Drosophila melanogaster: one gene and its partners. The gene in region 1 interacts genetically with each later gene. Each region holds a gene or a part of one and is shown in the gene's direction. Other genes may lie near its edges.

What was found.
Region 2: of drm (region 1) and bowl, changing one suppresses a phenotype caused by changing the other (phenotypic suppression), as found in Drosophila melanogaster (one study listed by BioGRID).
Region 3: of drm (region 1) and upd1, changing one suppresses a phenotype caused by changing the other (phenotypic suppression), as found in Drosophila melanogaster (one study listed by BioGRID).

What each region holds. Positions count from the first base shown.
Region 1 is NT_033779.5:3,538,102-3,541,854, forward strand, and holds the start of drm (drumstick), read left to right. Parts: upstream 1-1,631; 5' UTR 1,632-1,876; intron 1,877-3,753. UniProt on the Drosophila melanogaster protein: Putative transcription factor. May function redundantly with odd and sob in leg joint formation during the larval stages, acting downstream of Notch activation.
Region 2 is NT_033779.5:3,769,980-3,773,732, forward strand, and holds the start of bowl (brother of odd with entrails limited), read left to right. Parts: upstream 1-1,720; 5' UTR 1,721-1,894; intron 1,895-1,940; exon of another isoform or gene 1,941-2,036; intron 2,037-2,046; exon of another isoform or gene 2,047-2,337; intron 2,338-2,481; 5' UTR 2,482-2,715; intron 2,716-3,753. UniProt on the Drosophila melanogaster protein: Putative transcription factor. Required for leg joint formation, acting downstream of Notch to pattern the leg tarsal segments. Functions in the terminal pathway during embryogenesis, acting downstream of tll in the posterior of the embryo.
Region 3 is NC_004354.4:18,307,238-18,310,990, reverse strand, and holds the start of upd1 (unpaired 1), read left to right. Parts: upstream 1-1,699; 5' UTR 1,700-2,182; intron 2,183-2,731; exon of another isoform or gene 2,732-3,254; 5' UTR 3,255-3,391; coding exon 3,392-3,748; intron 3,749-3,753.

The sequences.
Region 1 (3,753 bases):
CGAGTTTGCTGATTGGCCATTTAAAATATGCAAATTTGATCCGAAAAACAATAAGACAGATGGACACAGATGGAGTGAAACAAAAGCGAGGCGGACAGAGATGAAGCCATCAAAGTGGAGTTGCCAACGGATTGCACTTAAAAATGCCCAAAAGCAGTCGAAAATAATTTGTTAAGCTTTATGGACAGGCGAAAACTTAATTAAAAACAATCCTTTTCTGGCGCACCTAATTAAAAACACTGGGTGTTAAGTTAATGAAGTTTCTTGCTGAATGAACGACACAGTTTTTCAGATTTCATTGAGAAATCGTAAAAGATAAACAGATATGGTGAGGCACAAAAGATAAACAGACCATCAATATGGTGTTTTTGTAGTATTATTTTTTCGGGTCTAAAGAGGCCACACAAGCAGAAGAGCGACAACAAAGGCGGAGGCGGCAAAGCCAAAGGAAATGCGAGAAAAAAGTTTCTCAGGCCCTGAAAACAAAATGGAGCTCCACAAAAAAAGAAGATAAATACACTAAAAATTGAGCACTGCGTAATACGGTTGCTCTGCTCTGCCACTGGTTTTTATATTTGGCCTCTCGCTCGCTCGCAAAACGGGTTAAGAAGCAGTTAAAAAGGGGGTGAGCGAGCGAGACGGCGCGAAAGAGTGGGACAGACAGAGCGCCGCCCAAAGCCACGCCCACATCTATAAAAATATACACAGGTATAAGTGAAAGAAAGTTACCTTTTTAGCCAAACAGCAGCTAGAAAGACAGAGAAGAAGTCCGAGGAAATCCAAAGAAATCGCAAGCTTATTACAGCCCGCATTATCCAGCACACCTTTCACTCATTAGTCGCCTAAACTTAATTGAAATGTTGGCTTACTTAAGCTTAATTAACAGTCAACTCAGGTAACGCCTTCGAAACCACTCAACTCAGGTAGCCTTCTCTCGCTCGCTCACTCTCCAGTTTTCTCAGTTCGCTCTTTAGCTCATTTTCCTCCGACCAATCAGCTGAAACACTCAAAACTCGTTCTCCGCGACCCAAACAGTGCGTGGGAAAGGGACAGCCAACCGAGAGAGGGCTGTAAAAAAGAGGGTAACCAAAAAAAGGAAAACAGAAAAAGTTCAACCCATCAAGCTGAAGTTTTCGATCGTAACTTTGCAGTTGACTCTCGCGCACAGAAGCGTTCGGAAGTGAAATATATTTTATTAATAATATTACCCAACACAGTGCTACCAAACAGAAATTGCATACAATTTGTGTCTTGCCAAATAGCAAACGGAATTTCGTGCTTTCGCAATAGGTAAGTGACGCCATTTTGTGACTTTTACGCTTGGCTTCCGTTAGAAGAGACGCCATTTTGTGGCTTCCGTTTGCCAGCTTCTGTACTTACGCATAAGAACTTAGGGCGAGCGAAAGGGATGGCTAGCGAGCGCTGCGCATGAGCAGTAGCTTCGGCTACCGGTCTTCGTTTTGCTTCGTTTCTCTTCGGATGACTCACACACACTTACACACACTCACACAGTGCCACCGAATTGAGTAACAGACAGGGACAGAGCGATGATCTCGCTTCCTCAACTTGCCAGCAGCGACGCCGGCAGCGACGCCGACAGAGGACGGCGGCAGAGGCGACTACTATTTCTTTCAGTTATTAGTAGCATTCATTCATTCAACTTTGTGCCGCTCGAGCGTGCGTATATAGTTCCCTCTCATCAGTAACAGTATCAGTAACAACATCAGTAACATTTCCTTCGCGAGTACCTTCAAAAGAGATACAAATCGATCTATCCATTCAGCGGACATACGAAAATCGCACAAAACTCAGCTATAGAAATCGGTTAGCCTCTACTCGAGTCCGAAGAACGCGTAACTCCAGTGCATCCCATTGGGTAAGTCTTTCTTCAGCTCCTCTCTTCAATGGCGTTCTTCGTGTTCTTCTGTTCGTCGTTCTTCCCCCTTCCACACTTGTTTCGCTACCAGTTTTACGCCGCTTTCATTGGACAACTGAAAACTGAGCAAAGAAAAGAAGAAGTAAACCCCACACGTAACACGGGTGCGTGTATCGGCCTCTCTTTCTGCCCGGGCCTCTCACTTCGGCTCTTTAGTGTGCCAGAGGGAGAGGGGCGATGCGTCTAATATGGCATGCGTGTGGCCAACGGAGCTTTTCGGCCTCTGTGTGCGTGAGAAAGTGTCGCCATTTGCCAAAATGGCGGACGCCAAGTCCGAATATTTCCCTATTGGACTGTAAAAAGTTTTTACCCGCACTTCTTGACACGAATTCCCCAAAATGGGTGATCTACTTGAAATACAACCGAGTTTATTGATCTCTCATTGTATAGTACAAATGTGTTATTAATTTCCGAAATGAATGAAGAAGAAATAATTTGTATCTCATAAAAAAATGCTCATTAATTTTCGAAAAGAAAACTATTTAATATTATTTTCTATTAAAGTTGGTCTAAAAAAACATTTGAGCTCTCTTCAGAACAAATATAAGTTTTTATTGTATCCTAAACTTTCAACCTGTTCTATTTTTAAAGGTTTCAGTCGTTTTCCATTGAAATTGTCTAGGAATTGAAAACTCTTAAAGCCGTCGGCATTTTTTCAGATTGAAAGAATAGAAGCTGAGAAGTTTAATGAGTCAGCATTAAGAACAAAAAGCCTAGTTTGTCGAAGGTTGATCGCGGACGCACAAAACACGGCAAATCATCGCCAAGAATGTTTGGCATATCATCATCAGCCGTTTTGGTACAAGTTATTTGCCTATGAGTCATGGAGTTGTGCTTTTTTCATTGGATTATGAAATACCAATGAGTACGGCTCAAGCTAACAACAGATGTTCAAAAAGTTGCGTCAAAGTCAGGTACTTTGAAATACCTGAGATTTGGCACTTGTGCGAAAATTCCAATGAATCTGGTGCGAAATCGCAGAAATCAGAACCCATATTCTAGGGGAACTTTCTGGAAGTAGGACTAACATTTACAATATAGGGAAATTCGTTTAACATAGTTATACTGAAGTAAAGTTGTTGTAAGAGTTTCGTGACCTCTGAAATTCTTACTGCTTTCCCGCGACCATTTCTTTCCCGTCTGTCTGATCTTTGACCTCGTCTGGACCTCCCGCTGCGCTCCATCAATTAGAGTCTAATTAGCTAAGCGATTACGGTAAATGGGCTCAGCTGGCAGCTAATCTGCGCCGACTTTTGAGCAACTGTCATATCTTACGGGCTGAAGGTGAGAAGCGTCCGAAATCGACTTGCTTCGGCCACGAAATTCCCATCCGATTTGCGATGGATCTAGGGAAGATCGCTCATACCTTGCCGCATTGTATCTTTGTATCTTGTGGTGTGTTTGTGTTTGGGGTTACGAAGGTATTCCTTTGTTCGCACTGAAGTGGCAGTGCCACACATCCTAATTGTTTCCACCGACTTATTGGTTCTGTTGTCAGGCCAGGATCTCGTGTGTGTGGGTGTTTTTCCCGGGAATTCTGCGCCATTAGCACAATTAGATTCGTATCAAATGGACTTCGGTGCCTTTGTCTTCAGAGCCTTATGTCCTTTTATTGTCATTTTTTCTCGCTTCGGTTTCTTCTTTTCACTTTTCGGTTGTAATTTTTAATGGCACCTTGCCAACTCACTGTCCGCCTCCTACAAAAAATAAAGGGATGACCACGGTGCGAGGTGAAAGAAGTGTGGTAATCGCTTTCGACCATATCCCACGTCCTGCGACGTGTGTGTCACTGCTTTGAGCCCTTTTTTTGGACCCAG
Region 2 (3,753 bases), 230 kb from region 1:
TCAATTTCAATTTTATGTATTGTGGAATCCAATTATAAGGGAGACCAATTATGGTAATTATTTATTTTATTTCTTATTTACTTATTGTTATTTATATATGCTGAAAATTATTTTCCGAGTGCAGCAAGAGCAACAGTTGTTGATGGGGGAAGTCGACGACGACTAGCATAACAATTCGCTCGCCCTATGAGGCAGCTACCGTTTTTCCGTCTTCTCTTTTCTACCACTTATTTCTGGTCTTCTGCCTGTTGCCGCTTTGTATCTCCATTTCCACTTACTGTTTTTGCAGTGGCAGCAGCCACAATTTAGTTCCACTGTGCAGCACCTTAATTACATGGCTACGGACTCTCTTTTGTTGGGTACTTTTCGGGTTTTTCTTTTCTGCATCTCGGAATCATTACGACCATGATCACCGTCGTGGCCGAAACGTAACTCCCTCTACTTTTGGGACCCTAGCTGATTTTTGGTCTTTTTGTTAACGTCTTTTCTTTTACCACTTGACCGCATTGATGCTGCATTGCGAGCAGAGGTTGCCAGATTGTTAGAATAGAAATTTTACAGTCTATTATAATAATATAAGACCTATTTACATAGCCTAGCTCGAATCAATCATTTACCTATGTTTTATTTTTTTCCAAGTTCCCGTGCTCGCCTTCTTTTATAAGGACTAATTACCATTAATAAAAGTCAGTCTGGCGATAAGATGGTTTCTAGACTTATATTGTTTTACGACCTATTTCCATAAATGAATTGTATAACTCGGCTGCCGATTAATCATCAGTGTATATTTAAATACATATGTATAAATATTTTTCCCTAAAGCTACCAACTAATTATTCCAAATAAATATTTACTTATCAGTAGAACATTGGAACTTGTCATAATATAGATATATAGTCGTGTGAGTAATGCACTTTATTTCACCCCAACTTTCGACTTGGCAACCCCTTCTTCGAAGAAACCTTATCACCTTGCCTCCCTAAAAATGCTTTCTGATTAGTCATTCCCCTAAATGAAACCGCAACAAAAGCCGAAGAACAAAATACACCCCCACTAAAAAGGCATAACAATAAACAGGGAACTACCAGAGTTACACCCTCCTCCTCCTTTTCGGGTGAAGCCACCATAACGATCCATGGGCAGCAGCAGCAACGGCAATCTGGCAACACCCGGGCCAATTGTACCCTACCCTCTCGACTGGGCCAAAAAAAAAAAAGCAGTCGGTGGTAGTCGGTAGTCGGTCGGTAAACAGGTAGCGCTCTAACTGACAATAACTCGTCGTACGAATGCACGTTCCACGCTCCGCCAGTGCCAGTCTCCATATAAGTCCGTCCACGGGCCCATCCGTCCATTTAGCAGCGTGCGACTGGCGGCCGGTTGGGTTTGGGTTGAGTTCGGTTTAATTCCTCTCCTCCACTGAAAGAAATGTCGTACTATATTCAAACTGAATATAAGTTACTAGTTAATTCAGAAAAATATGTAAATGCATCCATTATTTATCTAGTATATTTAAGCAGATAGATTTATACTGTTGTTATTTACAGAAAATTAGAGCCTTACTCTTCAGATATTTAAGAATTGTTAAAACTTTTTCCACAGTGCACTAAGCTGGTTTTAGTGCCACTGCTCGCTACTCGTCGCTTGTCTCTTTCTACGCATTTCTCAGCCCGCGATTCTCTCGATTCTCTCTTTTTCCATTCGGGCCCTGTTTCTTGGGTTCGTGGCTCAGTCTTCGAGAGTTGATCGTGGCCAACGCACCTGCGCGCGGATCGCTGGTAATAGCTGTTGGAAAAGTGAACTGCATTGTGAGTGCCTCTCGCTCTATATCTATCTGTATCTTTCGCCGCCGATGTATCTTATTGAGCGGGCCCAGAGCGCTAGTGTGTGTGTGTGTGTGAGTGAACTTGTTGCATCGCCAGTTGCCTCGAGAAAAGCGCTTTTCAACTGCAACTGACTCTGTGTGTGGGAAGAGTTTGGGACTACTTGAGGAGCGAATTGGTAGCTGCACTGGCTTCAGCTCCTATTTCAAACAAAATGTAGAAAAACACATTTCAGCTGCCGTGTATCTCTCGTTCTCGTTCGGTTTTCAGTTCGTTGAGGTTGAGGTTTCGGTTCGGGTTTTTCTTCGTTCGGTTTTCATATCTGTGAGATACAAATACATCGTGTGTTTGTGCGCGAGTTGTACGTGGATTTTGGAAGGAAAAAAACTACGTGGTTTGTGGTAGCTGACTGCCGTTGATGCTGCTGCTGCTCCCGTAACCGCCCCCCTGCCGCCCCCTCAGCCCCACCCCCTGGGGCGATCGTGCCGTGATTTGAATCTCAAAATTGTCCCTTAGTGTGCGTGTTTTTTTAAATACATTTACTTGAGAATGATTCGGTGAAATACTTGTTAAAATTAAAATCAAACCTGAAAATATAACAAAAAATTTCCGACAAATATTTTGAAAATTTTAATAAAATTATTTACTTTTAAATTCACAGAATCGTATTAACAGAAGTCTTCAAACAAATACAACAAGAAAAAACAACATACAATTCAAGTGCCACTTAAATGATATAAATTACTACTTTAAAAACCAAAAACAATGCCAAGCATTTCAAAGCTTACAAACTGACAAAAAACCAGCAAAATCATATTGAAACAACTACTTGGATACTTTAGGACGCAAAGATAAAGCCCAAAGAGCCTGGGGCTTTCTTCTGTTTAACCCACAGGTAAGATTCCGCCGAGAACAGGCCCTGCCTTCCCAGATGAACACAAAAATTCCACACCACTTATTTTTACTTGTTTTATTTTTTGTTGTTTTTTTTTTTGTTTTCTGTTTGTGGCGTAGGGCTAGCTAATTACGTTTATTATTTTTTTATTTTGGTATTTTTTGCGTTGGCCAAAAAGGCAGCGAGTACAAAAATATAACGAGTACGCAGACAGAGAAGGAGAGAGAGAGAAAGACCCAAGATATATCTCAAAACCTGCTCCACAAATAGAATGAGACGGGGCGAAAAAACAGGAAAGAGAGCGCAACAACGTTGGCGGTTGGCGGACTGTCGACCGACAAGCGGCTTCCACTACAACTGCATGTGCCACTGTCATTGCCACTGAACTCAGTGTGGTGCCGCACAGTCCACGGTGGAGTACGTCCCCCATCCCCCCGCAAACTTCCCCACCATCCTGAACCACCCGCTTGCCCCATTGTTGTTGCTGTGGCGCTCAGTTCGAGTTGGTCGGTTCGAGCCGGACTCGAAAAACCTTCGCTTGGAATTCTGGGGGTCTCTTATGGGTGCTCTTGGTAAGGGTACTTCGTTTGAAAATGGTGTACACAATTTGTAAAATATTATTTAAAAATATTAATCGGTGTTAATAACGTTACATTTCTGAAAAACTTTAATTTTACAGAATTTCAAAGCATCGCGTTAGGTTTTAAAAATATATTTTACGAAATTTAGGCAAACTTAGTTTAATAAGCTGATAGTTTATAAGCTTCTTATTTATTCCAGTGTTTTTTTTTCAACAAGTCTACTCTAGTTTGATCTATAGTATTATTTACTTATTTTGCCTAGGGTATTAAGTGCATCGGCTTTATAGATCGTGATTTTTCACATGTTTCTTTCATTTCTGTTTCTTTTCTTTGTAAACCAGTTCACTTGTAGCCAGTGCCAGTGGCCAGTGGTCGCTCTCGCCGTCTTTTTCGCTCCTTCTCGGCTTGGAATCCGGTTTTTTTGGTTTTCTGTTTTCGGTTTTCGGTCGTGGTCGCT
Region 3 (3,753 bases), on another chromosome or scaffold:
CGGGTGCGAATTGCCCTTTTTGTGCCTTGCCGCCCGTTTCCCAAAGGAGAGGTCGCACAAAAGGTGTGCGCTGCCACCTTGATATATGTGATATATGCGAGCGAGTCCCTCTCTGTGGGTTGTGGGTCCTGCGAGATTCGAGTCCTGTGCGTCCGTCCTGCCTTGCGGCGAAATAAAGGCGAGTGGCCCCGCTGCGCAACACAACTGCTTCCTGCAGCAGTTGCTGCACGCTGCACTTACGGTTAGACGCAAGGACACACCGTCCGCTGTCCGTTTCGGCCCGCTATCTGACCATCTACAGCTGTTTTCGGCTGCCCAAAACAATGCGGCCATAATGCAGCAAAACTCTCAATTTAATTAGACCGTCAATTGTGCAAGCCCTCGAAAGTAGGGAGAAATATGGGCATATTTGACATAGGGATGTCCTAGGTAGATGGGCGTCCGGGGGTTCGCCAGTTGGGAGTACCTGGCCCACTGGCCAGAGATTTCACACTCTTCTTCTAGTTACCCACCCAAAGCGGAATTGCGACAATATCAAGCCGAACTCATCGAGATGGTCAAATATCAGCGCTGCGATTATCAAAATAAATAATTTGAGGTGAGTTATAAATGTATCAAAAAATGATGAAACAACTTAATGTTTTACGATTTTTATGTAAATCTTTATTAATTAATTACCCATACGAACAGATTTAGGCATATATATGTATATTATTAACTTCATTTAAACAACTTGAATCATGTCAAATGAATTTGAATGGTATATACATATATAATAGATTGTGAGTGCCAAAATCACTACTTCAGTTATATTGATTGTGGTTCGAACACGTATAAATAATATTACTATAAAAATGTATATATTATGTATTATTATATATATTACTACTGGTATTGAGAAGAATTGTAACTGCACAATTGGTTGATTCCTTAGTGCTTTATCCTATTTTACGCTTTATTCCTTATAATTACTAAATTAATTTTAATATACAAAATATATAGCAATTTACTAGTTGTTAGAAAAAGTTGAAGAAAATGTAATATTGGTTAACGTTCCTCGTGGATAGTTCTCGAATGGATAGTTTACCTGGATTAGCGAGCTGAATAGCGGTGTTATGTTGGTCATTTCCGTTGATCACTTTCTAGACCGATTTGAATGTCAGGACTTTTTGGGAGGGGTGAGCAGGCCGCTCAAGGTCACCCAGAGAGTTTGAGAGAGGGAGAGAGAGAGAGGACCTAGCTGACCGGGCTTAGAAGAGTGAGACAGAGCCAGGTAGGCCTGGTCTTTTGGGGCACCAGGTAGGCTGCCTCTCTTCTTTTCCCGCTCTTTGAGTGAGTGACGCGGATTGGGCAAGTGGGAAAATTCCAGTTGCAATGGCGACCGGCCCAAGATCGCCCTGGTCCGCAGGAGCGAGCGGGATGGCGCGCGAGGACAGCCGGTTGGCAGGCTCAAAGACGGCACCAATACACACTTCGGCCAGGTAGGCGCATACGCACACACGTGCAGGTGACCTGGGAATAGGATACCCCGAATACGATCGGTGAGAGCGGGCGCGGGAGCGGGACAGCCTGCGGTTCTTCGGATCTGAATCTGATCGGTCCGAATCGGCGGTCTTCTTCTGGCTCGGACCATGGCGTACCGCTCGTCGGCACTCGGCGGGCAGCGACGCCGGCAGAGGCCGCTCAGCTCGCCTCAGTTCCCATTTCAGTTTCGGTTTCGGCCTTTTGGCGCTGCTCATCGGTCGGTCGGTTGGTCGGTGGTCGGTCGGTATCGCTCTGGTATTCTGGTATCTGGTATCCGCAGCCTCTCAGCGAAGAAAGCTGGTCAAATCCAGCGCGACTTTGGGCTCAGTTCGGTTTCACACTCGAACGCGAGCAGAAGTGTCCGCGAATCAGTCTCCAAAGCATCGAAATCACCAAATCAGAACACAAACTGAAGCACGGATTTGAACTCGATCTGTGGTCAAGTGGTCTCACAAATATTATATATAAATACATTTTTTTGCGAGTGTTGTGCTGCAAGTGTGTCCATTGAAAACCGCCGGAAAATCAACGAACAACGAATCTCGAACGATCATCGAACATTTGGATTAACGTACAGACTTTTGGGAGCTCAGGCGCAGCACAAACCACGGGGATCCCGCGAGGATCCTGAACGATTCCATTTTTCATCTATAATGCGGTGTGTGTATTATTTTTAATTTGATCAAGACTTAAGAGCAGGCACAATTGGAGAGTGGAGAAGCGATCGAAAAGGATATTTTGGTCAATATCAATTCTCCACTCTTCAAGTGACTTATCAACAAGAAACGACCAACGATCTACTGTTAAGCAAAAAGGACATTCTGTGACAGCAACTGCAATTTTGGGAATTAGGATTAAATTATATAGTTTAATTAATTCGCTCTGCATTAAAATGCAAATCCATTCAGGATATTGTTACTTGTGCGAATCCTTTCCGTTCGTTTTTAGCAGCAAACGATCTTCAGTCTCGAATTTTAATCCTGTCAGATAAAGTAGCTAACTTGAATGGAGAATTTGAAATGTTCAAATTTTAGAATTAGCCCCAAATCCAAAATTCAACCTCAAAAGTTTCCATACACTTTCACACACTGGAAGTTAAAGCCAAGCCAAGCCAGAAGGCAGAGATTTGTCGCCTGGAGAAGATTAGATCCTCGAAACTTGGATCGATACGTCTTCGTTATTCGCTCAGGCTACTCTCGAGTTAATTGTCTAAATTAAAAAGTTTCCCCGCCCTCAATATACACACATATCGCTCTGGAAAAGACAAAAAAAAAAAAACAACGAAAAGCAAAAAAAACCGCAAAACAAACATAGAGAAAATGTTAAAAAAATCGAACCAAATTGTTGAGACTGTTGTCTGGTTGCAGTTGCATTCGCATTGAAGGAGGCTCGGCCGATCATCCGACCCGTAATCCCGATCACCTCAGAGCTCCAGCATCGAAGCACCCGACCACCCAATCCCACCCAGTAACCCATCCACTCCCAAGGGAGTCCAGTTAGTTAACCATCTAGTCAGGGAGGAACAGTGATAGCAGTTGATCGTTGGTCGTCGCGCGTTGTAGCAGAAAATTGAATTTACTTTTGCATTCTCGATACTCATAGTGTTTTTTCTCCACATCTCTTCCCTTCTGACCCCCCATCCCCACCCTTCACATATATCCTATATATATATATTGTAACCCCGTTCGCTGTATCTGCACACTGATTTCGATACGGACCGCGGACAGTAGTTGGTTGGCAGTGCGCTGCGACCACAGCTAAAAACAGCACCACGGCAGCCGGCAACGGAAACGGAAACATCAGCGGAAGCGGTAGCGGTAGCGGTAACGGATTCCGGCGCAGAAGAGAAAGTGGCTACCATGCGGCGATGGCTCGTCCGCTGCTCCTGCTCCTGCCCATCCTACTCGTCCTGCTCCTTGCCGCCCAGTTGCCCCACCTCGCCGAGGGGCGCAGCACCACCAGCAGCGGCGGTCTAACGGTTATCGATAGCGAGCGCCTGCGCATTCGCACCACCTCCAGTACGGCTTCAGCTCAGCATCCCAATCAGGGCACGATCCCTGCCAGCGCCGCTAGTCCGCGCAAGCGCCACAGAAAGCGGAACAGCAACTGGATCGACTATCGCAACTTCGACGAGAACACCACCGCCCTGGAGTGGGCCAATCCCTGCGGTGGCAACTATCATCCCTCGGCGGGTGATCGCTTCAATCGCCAGCGTCCCAGGCAGGTGAG